Caenorhabditis elegans: one gene and its partner. The protein of the gene in region 2 purifies or fractionates together with the protein of the main gene of each other region. This does not show direct contact. Each region holds a gene or a part of one and is shown on either strand. Other genes may lie near its edges.

Region 1 (7,678 bases), on a different chromosome or scaffold from region 2:
AATCTCTCTGAGATCCAAGCTTATTAATAGTAAAACAAAATTAAAGTGAATTCTTAATTTCTAATCAGAAACAGTAAAACAGAAACAATGAAATTTTTCTTGATTTCCTTTAACTCAAATAATAAAAATTTTTCTGTTTCACATGTTCTTTAAAACTCATTCAATTTAATTGTTTAACATTACATGCTTAACATTACGCCCAAGAATAATAATAATTTTGCAGACGTGAATGCAGTTCGTGGAGCGATGAGCACAGTATGGAGGAGAAATGTCCGGTTGGTTCATTTTTTTCTGAGCATCAGACAATTTATATCAATTTTAGATGACCGGATGCCATTTCCAAACCAAAGATTCCACTTTTTGTTGCTGCCAGTTTGATGAGTGTAACGAGTGGAAGGGAGAGTAAGTTACTTTTTTTTGTGAAACTTTTTTGAAATAGGAAATACGAAAATTTTAGGTACGAAATACTTACAAGAATTTTTAAATAGATTCCAAAGAAAAAAAGAAAAAAATATATAAAGATTCATTACACATTTTTAGAAAAAAAGTTGAATCGAAAAATCTTAAAGCAGACTTCATCTATATATTGGCTATTTTTAAAACAATTTTTTTCAGCGGAACCGAGTTCAAAGCCGGAGAAACTAGCTCAAAATCGAAAGCTGTTCCAAGTGCTCCAAAACTCGGTGACGTCATCATGCCAACTGCAGCAACCCGTAAGAATGTTCGTGTGCATTGAAATTGCTTTATAGGATGAGATCAATTTTCTAATGAAATTTGAAAATCAAGTAAAACTTGTGAAACAGTAATTTTTTCAAGTGACTAAAACAATTGCTTGCTGATTTGAACCAAAATGCTGAACTATTATGGTTCAGTTGAAATTTTAGTTTTCAAATTATTTAAATAACACTAAAATTACAGCAAAATTTAAACTTTCAGAAAAGTGAAGACATCGTTCAAATTCCAACTACTGTCGCTCCAACCAGGAAGAGCAGTTTTGTCGAGCTTCCTTGATTTCTTAATAAAAAATTTATTATTTTTCTAATGGTTTAAAATTTTCCCTAACTGATTAGTTCATTTTGCATGAAATAAATGTTCAAAATAAAAAAAAAGCCTTTTAACAAAGTTTTCAAAAAATAATAAAATTTACAGAAGCATCAAAACGGTTCGTTCCAACTCGTACTTCTTCTATAATTGAAATCTCATTAAATTGTGCAAGTTTTTTTTTTATGAAACGACAGTAAAAAGCATACCATGAGAGTGTTATTACATTAATTTTTCCCACGTAATTAAATTTAAACACTGAAACGGTAAAATTTTTTGAACCTGCTAATAATATGTTAAAGTTCCAATTTCTTTATTGTTTTCAGATCACTATAGGTGACAACATGTAGCTCACTCACGCTCATACCACGAACTTTATCATACCATGATTTGTCCATTGCCCCCGTCATTATCTATATATGTCCTGCATAGTTAGCAGCCTGAAACCAATAATTTATGTGTTTTCCCTTCTTTTTTCCATAATTTCTTATCAGTTTCAATTATTTTTTGATCAGAATATTCCAACTGATTAGTCTTTATAAAAACGTGGTCAGTGTCTTCAAATATTGTTCTTATCATTTATTCATTAGTAGTCTTGGAAAGTGTCCGGTTTTAACGGAATACACTAGACTAGGCTATCATGATTTTGAATATATCCGTTTCTTTGCTAATATTTCTGGCGTTTTATGGATTTTCAAGCGATGCAAGTGAGTAGTAGAAGTGCCTGGAAGTGTTTAGAAAAGTTCTAAAAAAATATTACTGTTTCTCACTAGGGAGTGCTTTCACTATACGGTGCGATCGAGTAAAAGTAAACGTGTTATGCGATAGCTGGCATCTTAGGCTTTCAGAATCTGTAATTTGTTTCGGCGGAAGACCTCTGTGAGTCTGGAAATTTTCATCTGAAAATGTAGTACTGAAATCAGTTCATTTCCTATGGTTAACAGTGGATTTTGTCTCTGGCGCCAACAGAAGTCTCACCACAATGGTGGAAGGGCGAAATCATCGCTTCGGTGGTCGAGTGGTGAACGCGTTCGCCTCTTGAGCAGAAGTTTGTCGGTTCGGTTCCCACACATGGTTTAAATTTTGGGTTCTTTTATACAAAATTTTTAGAACGGGAAACAAATGTTTAAAACAGTTTTTTGAGGTTTTTACATTACTTTTTTGCTTTTTGATTGAACCACAATTACCCTGGAAACTTTTCAGAAATTTTTATTTTTTTCGAAAATTGCCACTTTTTTCTCCCATGAGAAAATTGGTTCCAAAAATTTTGTTTGAAATTTTTTCAAAAATGTATGAAATATTGTAGAGTGTCACGAATAACTTATTTTTCATTGTTTTCAATGACCGAATCACTGATTCTGATGCCGTATCAAGACGTTTTACCAAATCGATATTGGCAAAACATCTTGTTTTTGAGGCTCCATATCTCTGCAGAAAAAATCGCACTAAAAAGTGATCAACTAGAAACTTGTTAAACACAATGTGATCTAAAACTTTTCAGTTGAACACTTTTTTGTAAAAAATTTGGTTCCCAAGATATAGACCTTTAACTATTTAGAATATTCAAAAATAATGACGCTCAAATCAATTGGTTCCAACCTGGCAACCAAATTTTTTACAAAAAAGTGTTCAACTGAAAAGTTTTAGATCACATTGTGTTTAACAAGTTTCTAGTTGATCACTTTTAGTGCGATTTTTTTCTGCAGAGATATGGAGCCTCAAAAACAAGATGTTTTGCCAATATCGATTTGGTAAAACGTCTTGATACGGCATCAGAATCAGTGATTCGGTCATTGAAAACAATGAAAAATAAGTTATTCGTGACACTCTACAATATTTCATACATTTTTGAAAAAATTTCAAACAAAATTTTTGGAACCAATTTTCTCATGGGAGAAAAAAGTGGCAATTTTCGAAAAAAATAAAAATTTCTGAAAAGTTTCCAGGGTAATTGTGGTTCAATCAAAAAGCAAAAAAGTAATGTAAAAACCTCAAAAAACTGTTTTAAACATTTGTTTCCCGTTCTAAAAATTTTGTATAAAAAAGGCCAAAATTTAAACCATGTGTGGGAACCGAACCCACAAACTTCTGCTCAAGAGGCGAACGCGTTCACCACTCGACCACCGAAGCGATGATTTCGCCCTTCCACCATTGTGGTGAGACTTCTGTTGGCGCCAGAGACAAAATCCACTGTTAACCATAGGAAATGAACTGATTTCAGTACTACATTTTCAGATGAAAATTTCCAGACTCACAGAGGTCTTCCGCCGAAACAAATTACAGATTCTGAAAGCCTAAGATGCCAGCTATCGCATAACACGTTTACTTTTACTCGATCGCACCGTATAGTGAAAGCACTCCCTAGTCAGTTATGATATGACAAATTGTCATATCATGACTGAGAAACAGTAATACTGGAACTGAATTCAATGGAACTGAATTCTCAATAATCATTTAATAACTTCTATTTAAAAAAATTTAAAAATTCCCATTGAAAAATATTGCCGTTTCCGAGGTATAATATTTGAGTTAGTATTTGTATTACTTAATTCGTGCAATTCGAACAAATCTTTTTTTAAACAAAATGTGGAAATTGTGGAAAGTTGATACAGAAGTTTTACAAATTAAAAATACAAATTAAAACAAATATCGAGCATGAAAAATGCATTTGAAGCTACAACTTTTTAATATTTATTTTCACAAAAAAAACTCTGTTCCAACATGATCTGTTAAAATCCCACACTTTTATGATTCTGTTGCGAACAAGAAAATGTATTAGATATAACTGTCCTCAAATGCGTTTATAAAATTTCAATAAATGCGAACCAAATGTGACTAAAACGGACAAATCTGGACTTTTGCACTCAGAAATCGATTAAATTAAGACCCTAATTCTTAGTTCGGATTCGTCAGTTTTGCTACATCTAAATTGGATTCAACGATAACAATATTTTTTGAAGACTTCTAAAGATTATGTGAAACGGTATTTAAAAAAAAATTTGTCATTTCAAAAATCATTGTAGACATCAATCTTAACATAATTGCCAACATGAAAAGTTTCTACTGCTCCGAGGTAAAAAAAAGTAAAAAAAGAAAAAATTCATAACTTTTTGTTGTTATCCCAATAAAAAATTACTGTTTCTGTGTTATAATATGAGTTTTGGATTGGTATTGAATTGATAATAGTATCTTTTTTCAATATTTGAGCAATGATTTCATTACGCTTATACACATATGTATCAGATTTTTTCAAATTGTCAAACATTTGAATTATCAGAGTTTACAATTAACAAACCTTAATTAATAGATAACAGATAACAGTTATAATTTTTTTTAGGAAAATAACTCAGTTTCAATCTGCTAAATGCAAAATTTAATATTTTTCTAATCGTAACTATTTTTCTTCAAAATTAATTTTCGTATCCTTTAATCTAAATGGGCAGCAGACTGTAAAAAAATTATTTTAGAAACTTTTTTAGAAAAAATGCTTTAAAAAAAGCTTTTTCATAATTGCATATGCAAGACTAATAGAAGAAATACGGTAATTAATGTATTGTATTCATTGCTTGCAATGTGCAGGCAAAACATGGATAAAACAGTTTTAAAAAATTCCGTTTCAACAAATTTATTTATGAAATGTAAAATTTGAAATATGTATTTCGTATGGTAAAAATTTTCATAACCACAATTTACAGAACTGGAAATAGCTTTAGACATTTTCTAAACACGTAGTCCTGCACAATTTCCAAAACCATTCCAACTAACTAAACACAACTGAAGCCAATTTCCAGAGTCCCTTCCTTGCTCCGAAGTGAAGAAAGAGTATGGAATAGTTTGTCGTTGCAATGCCACGTATTGTGATACAATTGAACCACTTGGAACTGTTACTTCTGGGAAAGCAGTTGTCTATACAACATCAAGAAATGGAAAAAGAATGAACAGAAGTGAATTGAAGCATACAACTTCTTCTACAGGTACGTTAATTGTATAGGAAGTTCCATGAAGGCACAGAATTCTTGCCTGCATTCCTGTCTGCCTGCCTCCAGAATACACCGGAAGCTTATCAGTAACTTCTGGTTCGAAACTGATGCAAAATAGGCGGTAGGCAGGCTCTTAGATAGAGAGGCAGGCACCGCTCAACTAACACAAAAACCTTTATAATATTAGAATTTAGAGAATGATATTTTTTTATTTTGAAGTTGGCAAAAAATTATTCTACTGTTTCACAATTATTTTGTAACAATTGTTGATATGATACATCGTTTTTGTAGCCAAAACAAAAGTATATGTGAACACAACTCAAAGTTTTCAACCGGTAATGGGATTTGGAGCTGCATTCACTGATGCTGCTGGAATTAATATGAAGATGCTGCCACAGACAATGCAAGATCAAATTATTCAGCAATACTTTTCCGATGATGGTAAGTTATTTTCAAAAGATTAAGCTTGAAAAATAAATAATTTAGGTCTCGGGTATGTTTTTGGACGAGTTCCAATGGCTTCAACTGACTTTTCAACTCACGAGTACAGTTATGACGACGTTAAATTTGATTTTGATCTCAAAAATTTCAATTTAACAGTGGAAGATCTCCAGTATAAAATTCCATTTATCAAGAAGGCAATGACAGCTTCTGGAGGGAAATTAAAGCTATTTGCAACTCCATGGAGCTCCCCAGGATGGATGAAAACTTCTGGAAGAATGGTTGGTGCCGGAGAGCTATTGGGAGATCAGAATGGAAAATACTATCAGACATGGGCACAGTACTTTGTAAAGTAAGTTCTTATTTTCAAAGAAATAAAAAATAAAATTATAAAATGAAAGATTCTTCGAAGCCTATCACGCTCAAGGTATTGACTTTTGGTCTTTGACACCACAAAACGAGCCAACAACTGGAATTGATCCACTTTGGAAATGGCAAACACTCTTTTTCGATGCATCAATGGAACGAAATTTTATAAAGAAACTTTTGGGACCAGCACTTGCTTCATCACCAGTGACTAAGAATTTGAAGATTATGATTAATGATGATCAGAGAATTAATTTGCCACACTGGCCAAATGTAGTAAGTTATTGGTGGGATAAAACATTGAGTAATAGGTAGAAATGATTGAATGACTAAAAATTAATTAGATACTGTTTCACATTCAAAATAAATATATTAAAATTATAAACAAAACAGTAATCCAATACGAGAAACAAAACCTCTTTTATTTATTGAAAATTTTCAAAACTTTTATAGCTCTTTCCTTTGTTTATTTTTTTGTTTTCTATTAGGTACTTACCGTTTTTTAACACTATTAAGACTCCATTGTAATTAAGTATTTTCGAATTTTTTTCGAATCAAGACACTAGAACGGTTATTTTAATTTTAAAACTCGCTTTCACCTACAATTATTACTGAATTGACCGAATAGTTCAACAGTTGTGTAAATTGTTTTAGAAAAAATTAAAATCGAACGACAAAATGTGCAAAACTGATAAGAAACGTAATGCTAAAATGGATTTGTTGAAACATTGAAACATATCAGATATTCAAAAATTGTACTGTTTCACATTCAAAATAAATATATATATAGAAATTATAAACAAAACAGTCGAAACAAAAGTACTGTTTTTGGGAATCAAAATTGAGGTATTTTTGAGCTTTCCGTAGTCTTTGGTAAATTATGAAACAAAGTGTAATGAAGTATTTATTGACTAATTGTTAGAATTTGAAGATTATGATGAATGATAATCAGGAAATTATTTTGCCAAATTGGCCAAATGTGGTGAGTTGTCGTTTTGTTGAAACAGTTATGCAACAGTAGGGAAAAACATAAAATAATCAAACTTTGTGCTGTTTTACATTCAAAATAAATATAAGAAAATTATTATTGCCATCAATCTTTCTTTGGCCTTGGGAAGAGTTATCCGCAGAATTTACCTATTTGAATTTTTAACCCTTGATTAAAAATCATATCCCATTCCGACGTCCCCACTCTTTTAAAATAAAATTTTAGATTTTAACGGATCCAACTGCTGCTCAATACGTCCACGGAATTGCAATTCATTGGTATGAAGACTTCATTGACCCAGCAACCGTACTCACTGAAACTCACGAGAAGTTCCCAGACTATTTCCTTTTGGCAACTGAAGCATGTGCTGGATACTTCCCAGCAGATGGACCAAAATTGGGATCATGGTCTAGAGCTGAACAATATGCAAATGATTTGATTAAAGATATGGGAAATTGGGTTGGAGGATGGGTTGATTGGAATTATATTCTTGATTTACAAGGTTGGTTTGTGAAGTGTAGCAACACTTGCGATTTTTTAATTTAAAAACATCAAAAACCATAGTAAGAAACAGATTTAGAATTTTAAATCTTTGATATAACTAGGTTGAAACAGTTTTCTAATATTTATTTTCCAGGAGGACCAAATCTTGCCAAAAACTTTGTCGATTCAACAATAATCGTGAATGCAACTGCTCAAGAGTACTACAAACAACCAATTTGGCATGTAATGGCTCAATTCAGTAAATTTGTGAAACCGGGAGCTATTCGTGTTGGAATAAACATTATTGAGAAATCAGTTGATGTTGAGGGTCTTTCATTTTTGAATCAAGATGGTACCAAAACTGTGGTTTTATTGAATA
Region 2 (3,695 bases):
AGTATCAAAAAATCGTACTACGAGACCCGAAGAACTCGGGGGATGTCCAACTGGGGGGATTACCAACTCGGGGGATTGGCCCCGCCGACAGAACCGTGGCTTGCAATACGCCCATTTCTGCAACTGCCGCACGGTTTTGAAACTGTATTTTTCTTGTTAATTCTCGCTCTATTGAGAAAAATACAGTTTCGAAACCGTGCGGCAGTTGCAGAAATGGGCGTATTGCAAGCCACGGTCCTGTGGGCGGGGCCAATCCCCCGAGTTGGTAATCCCCCCAATTGGACATCCCCCGAGTTCTTCGGGTCTCCGTACTACGACTCCAATAAAAATCTGAGCTATTTTCGAATTAAAATTTTATAAAAGGAATTGTACTATTATTATATATTTTCAAGTTTGCGGGATGATATGTCTAAAATTCCTTTGAAAAAATTCCTAGAACTACTGTAGTTTTTGAATCTATCTGAACTATCCTGAATAATTTGACAAAATGCAGTTATGGAAAAATTGTTCTATGTTAAATAATGTTTATATCATACAAAAATTAACAGGTAATGCTGAACATCGGAATAGAAATACCTATATGGAAAATCTAAGATGGAAAAAAAATTATAGACATCTCCAAGTTTGACCAATCTGTGGGAATGATTTTCCCTTGTCCAGAGATCTGAGAGATTTCAGCTCGTCCTCGGTCAATTTGATTTTTATGGTCTGGAAAAAAATTATTCTAAATTGTTTGAAAATACAGGTTTCTCACATTGTGTAAATTATCGTGAATTCTCGATGGAGTTGCAGATTTTGGAATCATAGAAGTATTACTGCAGTGTGCAAAAGCATAGAGAATTGCTTGCGGAGTCTGATTGTATTTTTGACAAAGATCGACCAATGGTTTCTCTTGAAGAATTTCTTTATCTCCCCAGCATAGAGAAGAATATGATTGAACGACGATATTGTTCAGATCACAGAACTTTTTAAGAGTTGGACGAGTCAAGTACGGTTGGTATTCGTATTGATTGAGGACTGGACGAATTTTTGCATACTCAAACATTTCAACGAGATGATAAACTTCATAGTTGGACACTCCAATTGAACGAACTCTTCCAGACTCTGAAAAATGTAATTTTTAATTTTTTTTAAAGATGGAATTTTGTAAAGTGTCACAACTGCTCAGTTGTAATACTAACATTATACTTAGAAAATCTAAAAACGGAACTTCATCAATTCATAGGTTGTTTCATTTATAAATATAATTTTCTGAACATTGGAATCTACTAATTACATTGCAATTGCAAAAGTATTCTTAGAGTAAGATGAGAGAATGATTTTTTTGATCGGATTGATCTACCACTATTATTTCAAAATAATTGATAACGCCAACCACGTTGAAAAAGGAACTCAACTTTATATGAAATGACCATGAAACCAACATACCTTTTGCCTTTTCAAGTGTCTGCCAAACAATTTTCCTTCTACTTTTGTTAATTTCGTAGTCATCATCGTTTCCAGTATCACGGTCACGTGGATAGTGAATTAAAAGAAGATCTACATAACTGAAAATAGAAATAATTCTGATGATAACTCAACAAATATTTTCCTACTCGGTTTGCAAAGTTGCAAGGGAATTGGCTAGTTGTTTCTCAGTTTCCTCCACAGTATTTTCATTGAGAGTACGAACTTTAGTAGTGATGAACACATCTTCACGTGTCAAGCCAAATTGTGGTAGATATTTCTAAAATTTTAGAGGTTTGAATAGTTTTTCAGAAATCAGTTTAAATTTACCTTCAGGGAATTACCAAGAAACGTTTCGTTTTTGTAGAGATTGGCTGTGTCAAATTGACGATATCCAGATTTCAGAGCGGCTTCAATAGAGACATCTAAATCTTGTTGAGTTTCAATTCGAGAGATTCCAAGACCAATTTTTGGCATTTCGTATCCATCGGAAAACTTGAATGCACCACCAACAACATTTGTGAAAACACTCATAGTCTGAAAATACATTTAAATGAGATAAAAGAATATAAAAATGGCAAGAAATGAAGAATAGAGGACATTAAATATAAATAAGAGATAGGTAGAGGAGGAGGGGGACAGTTCAACAAACAATGGAAGTTTCATTGAACAATTTTTGAAAGTTAAGATGTGATGTTTGTTGTAATTTACACTATTCAATGGTAATTCATAGACTTTGAACGAAGCGTTCGATCATTGAAACACTCTCTTTGCGAAGTTTGTATTTAGAGTTCAATAAGTTTACTAAACAGAGAAAAATTGAATTAACAGAAGAATGACGTTATATTGTGATCATTTCCAATCACGATAGGAACACTACCATATACACATGACCTATCCTAGTTGTTATGTTGTCTCTTCCCATTTTTCTTAAAATTAACTGAGAAATTAAAATTTTGGATGTGAGGAAGAGCCTTTATTATAAAAAGCCATGTTTCATGTGGAAATAATTCGGTACAATCCATATCGCAACTTATTTATTACAGATGTTGAAAATGTTTTTTTACATAAATATTCAGAAATTTCTACCAAAAACTAATCACACAAGTAAAAAAAATCATAAATATGGTAAACATGTAAATAAAAATAAATGTTATAAATAAAACTAATAAAATAATAAAAAAAACAAAGGTTCATGATTTAGATTTTTTAAATCTGTTTTTACACTACGATACTCTTGCTGCAAATCTGCTCCATCGACAACCAATTCCCTGCGTCTCCACTATAGACAGAACTGTCATGTTTTTATTTCAATAGAATTTCCTTATTTCTTTTCTGTATATTTTAATCTTATAATTGTTTTCGTATTCTATGAAGAACATAAAAATTCTCGCGAAATTGTAGAAACATTTTTCCATCGACTTCCGCGTATTTTGACGGCGATCTCCACTAAATATAGTCAGATTTACTTTCCAGAAACCCTCGTTCATTAAATTAAAATCTAAGTAATGTAAAATATTGCTTAAATGTTCGTACTTTGTTCTATTTTAAGCCAACTAAGACAGTGTCAAAACGAAATTTTTACCGGTTTCATCGATTGGCAAGCAAATTTGCTATTTATTTACTTTTCTTCTCTTTATGACTCATTCGAAACCCGCACAATCGATTTAACAATTTTCAGGCGAAATGGATTCGCAAGGGCGAAAGGTGATTGTCGTTGACAACGGAACAGGTGTAAGTTGCAAAATTTTATCCCATTTTATTTTCAAAAATTCTGTATTTGCAGTTCGTCAAATGCGGGTATGCAGGAACCAATTTCCCAGCTCATATATTCCCTTCAATGGTCGGTCGGCCAATCGTGAGATCGACACAAAGAGTTGGAAATATTGAAATTAAGGTAAAACTTTACACAGAAAGGTCTTATAACTGTTTTCTCACAGGATTTGATGGTTGGCGAGGAGTGCTCTCAGCTTCGTCAAATGCTTGATATCAATTATCCCATGGACAACGGAATTGTTAGAAACTGGGATGATATGGCGCATGTATGGGATCATACTTTTGGACCGGAAAAGTTGGATATCGACCCGAAAGAGTGTAAACTGCTGCTGACAGAACCACCACTCAATCCGAACAGCAATCGTGAGAAAATGTTTCAAGTTATGTTTGAGCAGTATGGATTCAATTCTATCTATGTGGCGGTTCAGGTAATAGTTAATCCTCATGATAAAATCATAATGATTATATTTTCA

What was found.
Region 1: the proteins of K07C5.2 (region 2) and gba-4 fractionate together in Caenorhabditis elegans (co-fractionation; one large-scale study listed by BioGRID). This does not show direct contact.

The regions. Positions count from the first base shown.
Region 1 is NC_003282.8:5,344,842-5,352,519, reverse strand, and holds the start of gba-4 (Putative glucosylceramidase 4), read left to right. Parts: upstream 1-1,622; 5' UTR 1,623-1,681; coding exon 1,682-1,748; intron 1,749-3,098; exon of another isoform or gene 3,099-3,171; intron 3,172-3,590; exon of another isoform or gene 3,591-3,611; intron 3,612-3,798; exon of another isoform or gene 3,799-3,819; intron 3,820-3,958; exon of another isoform or gene 3,959-3,979; intron 3,980-4,224; exon of another isoform or gene 4,225-4,245; intron 4,246-4,699; exon of another isoform or gene 4,700-4,720; intron 4,721-4,832; coding exon 4,833-5,015; intron 5,016-5,303; exon of another isoform or gene 5,304-5,312; coding exon 5,313-5,462; intron 5,463-5,507; coding exon 5,508-5,814; intron 5,815-5,863; coding exon 5,864-6,104; intron 6,105-6,221; exon of another isoform or gene 6,222-6,245; intron 6,246-6,636; exon of another isoform or gene 6,637-6,657; intron 6,658-6,921; exon of another isoform or gene 6,922-6,946; intron 6,947-7,041; coding exon 7,042-7,318; intron 7,319-7,365; exon of another isoform or gene 7,366-7,386; intron 7,387-7,453; coding exon 7,454-7,678. Other genes in the region: Y4C6B.7 (Activin_recp domain-containing protein), read left to right, coding at 224-275, 323-402, 616-721, 937-1,011. UniProt on the Caenorhabditis elegans protein: Glucosylceramidase that catalyzes the hydrolysis of glucosylceramides into free ceramides and glucose. C.elegans contains specific sphingoid bases, which are unique or different in structure compared to the sphingoid bases found in other animals.
Region 2 is NC_003283.11:10,337,788-10,341,482, reverse strand, and holds K07C5.2 (NADP-dependent oxidoreductase domain-containing protein), read right to left. Parts: upstream 1,984-3,695; 5' UTR 1,981-1,983; coding exon 1,777-1,980; intron 1,727-1,776; coding exon 1,596-1,726; intron 1,548-1,595; coding exon 1,429-1,547; intron 1,105-1,428; coding exon 755-1,104; intron 709-754; coding exon 607-708; 3' UTR 512-606; downstream 1-511. Other genes in the region: arx-2 (Actin-related protein 2), read left to right, coding at 3,133-3,180, 3,233-3,343, 3,387-3,650.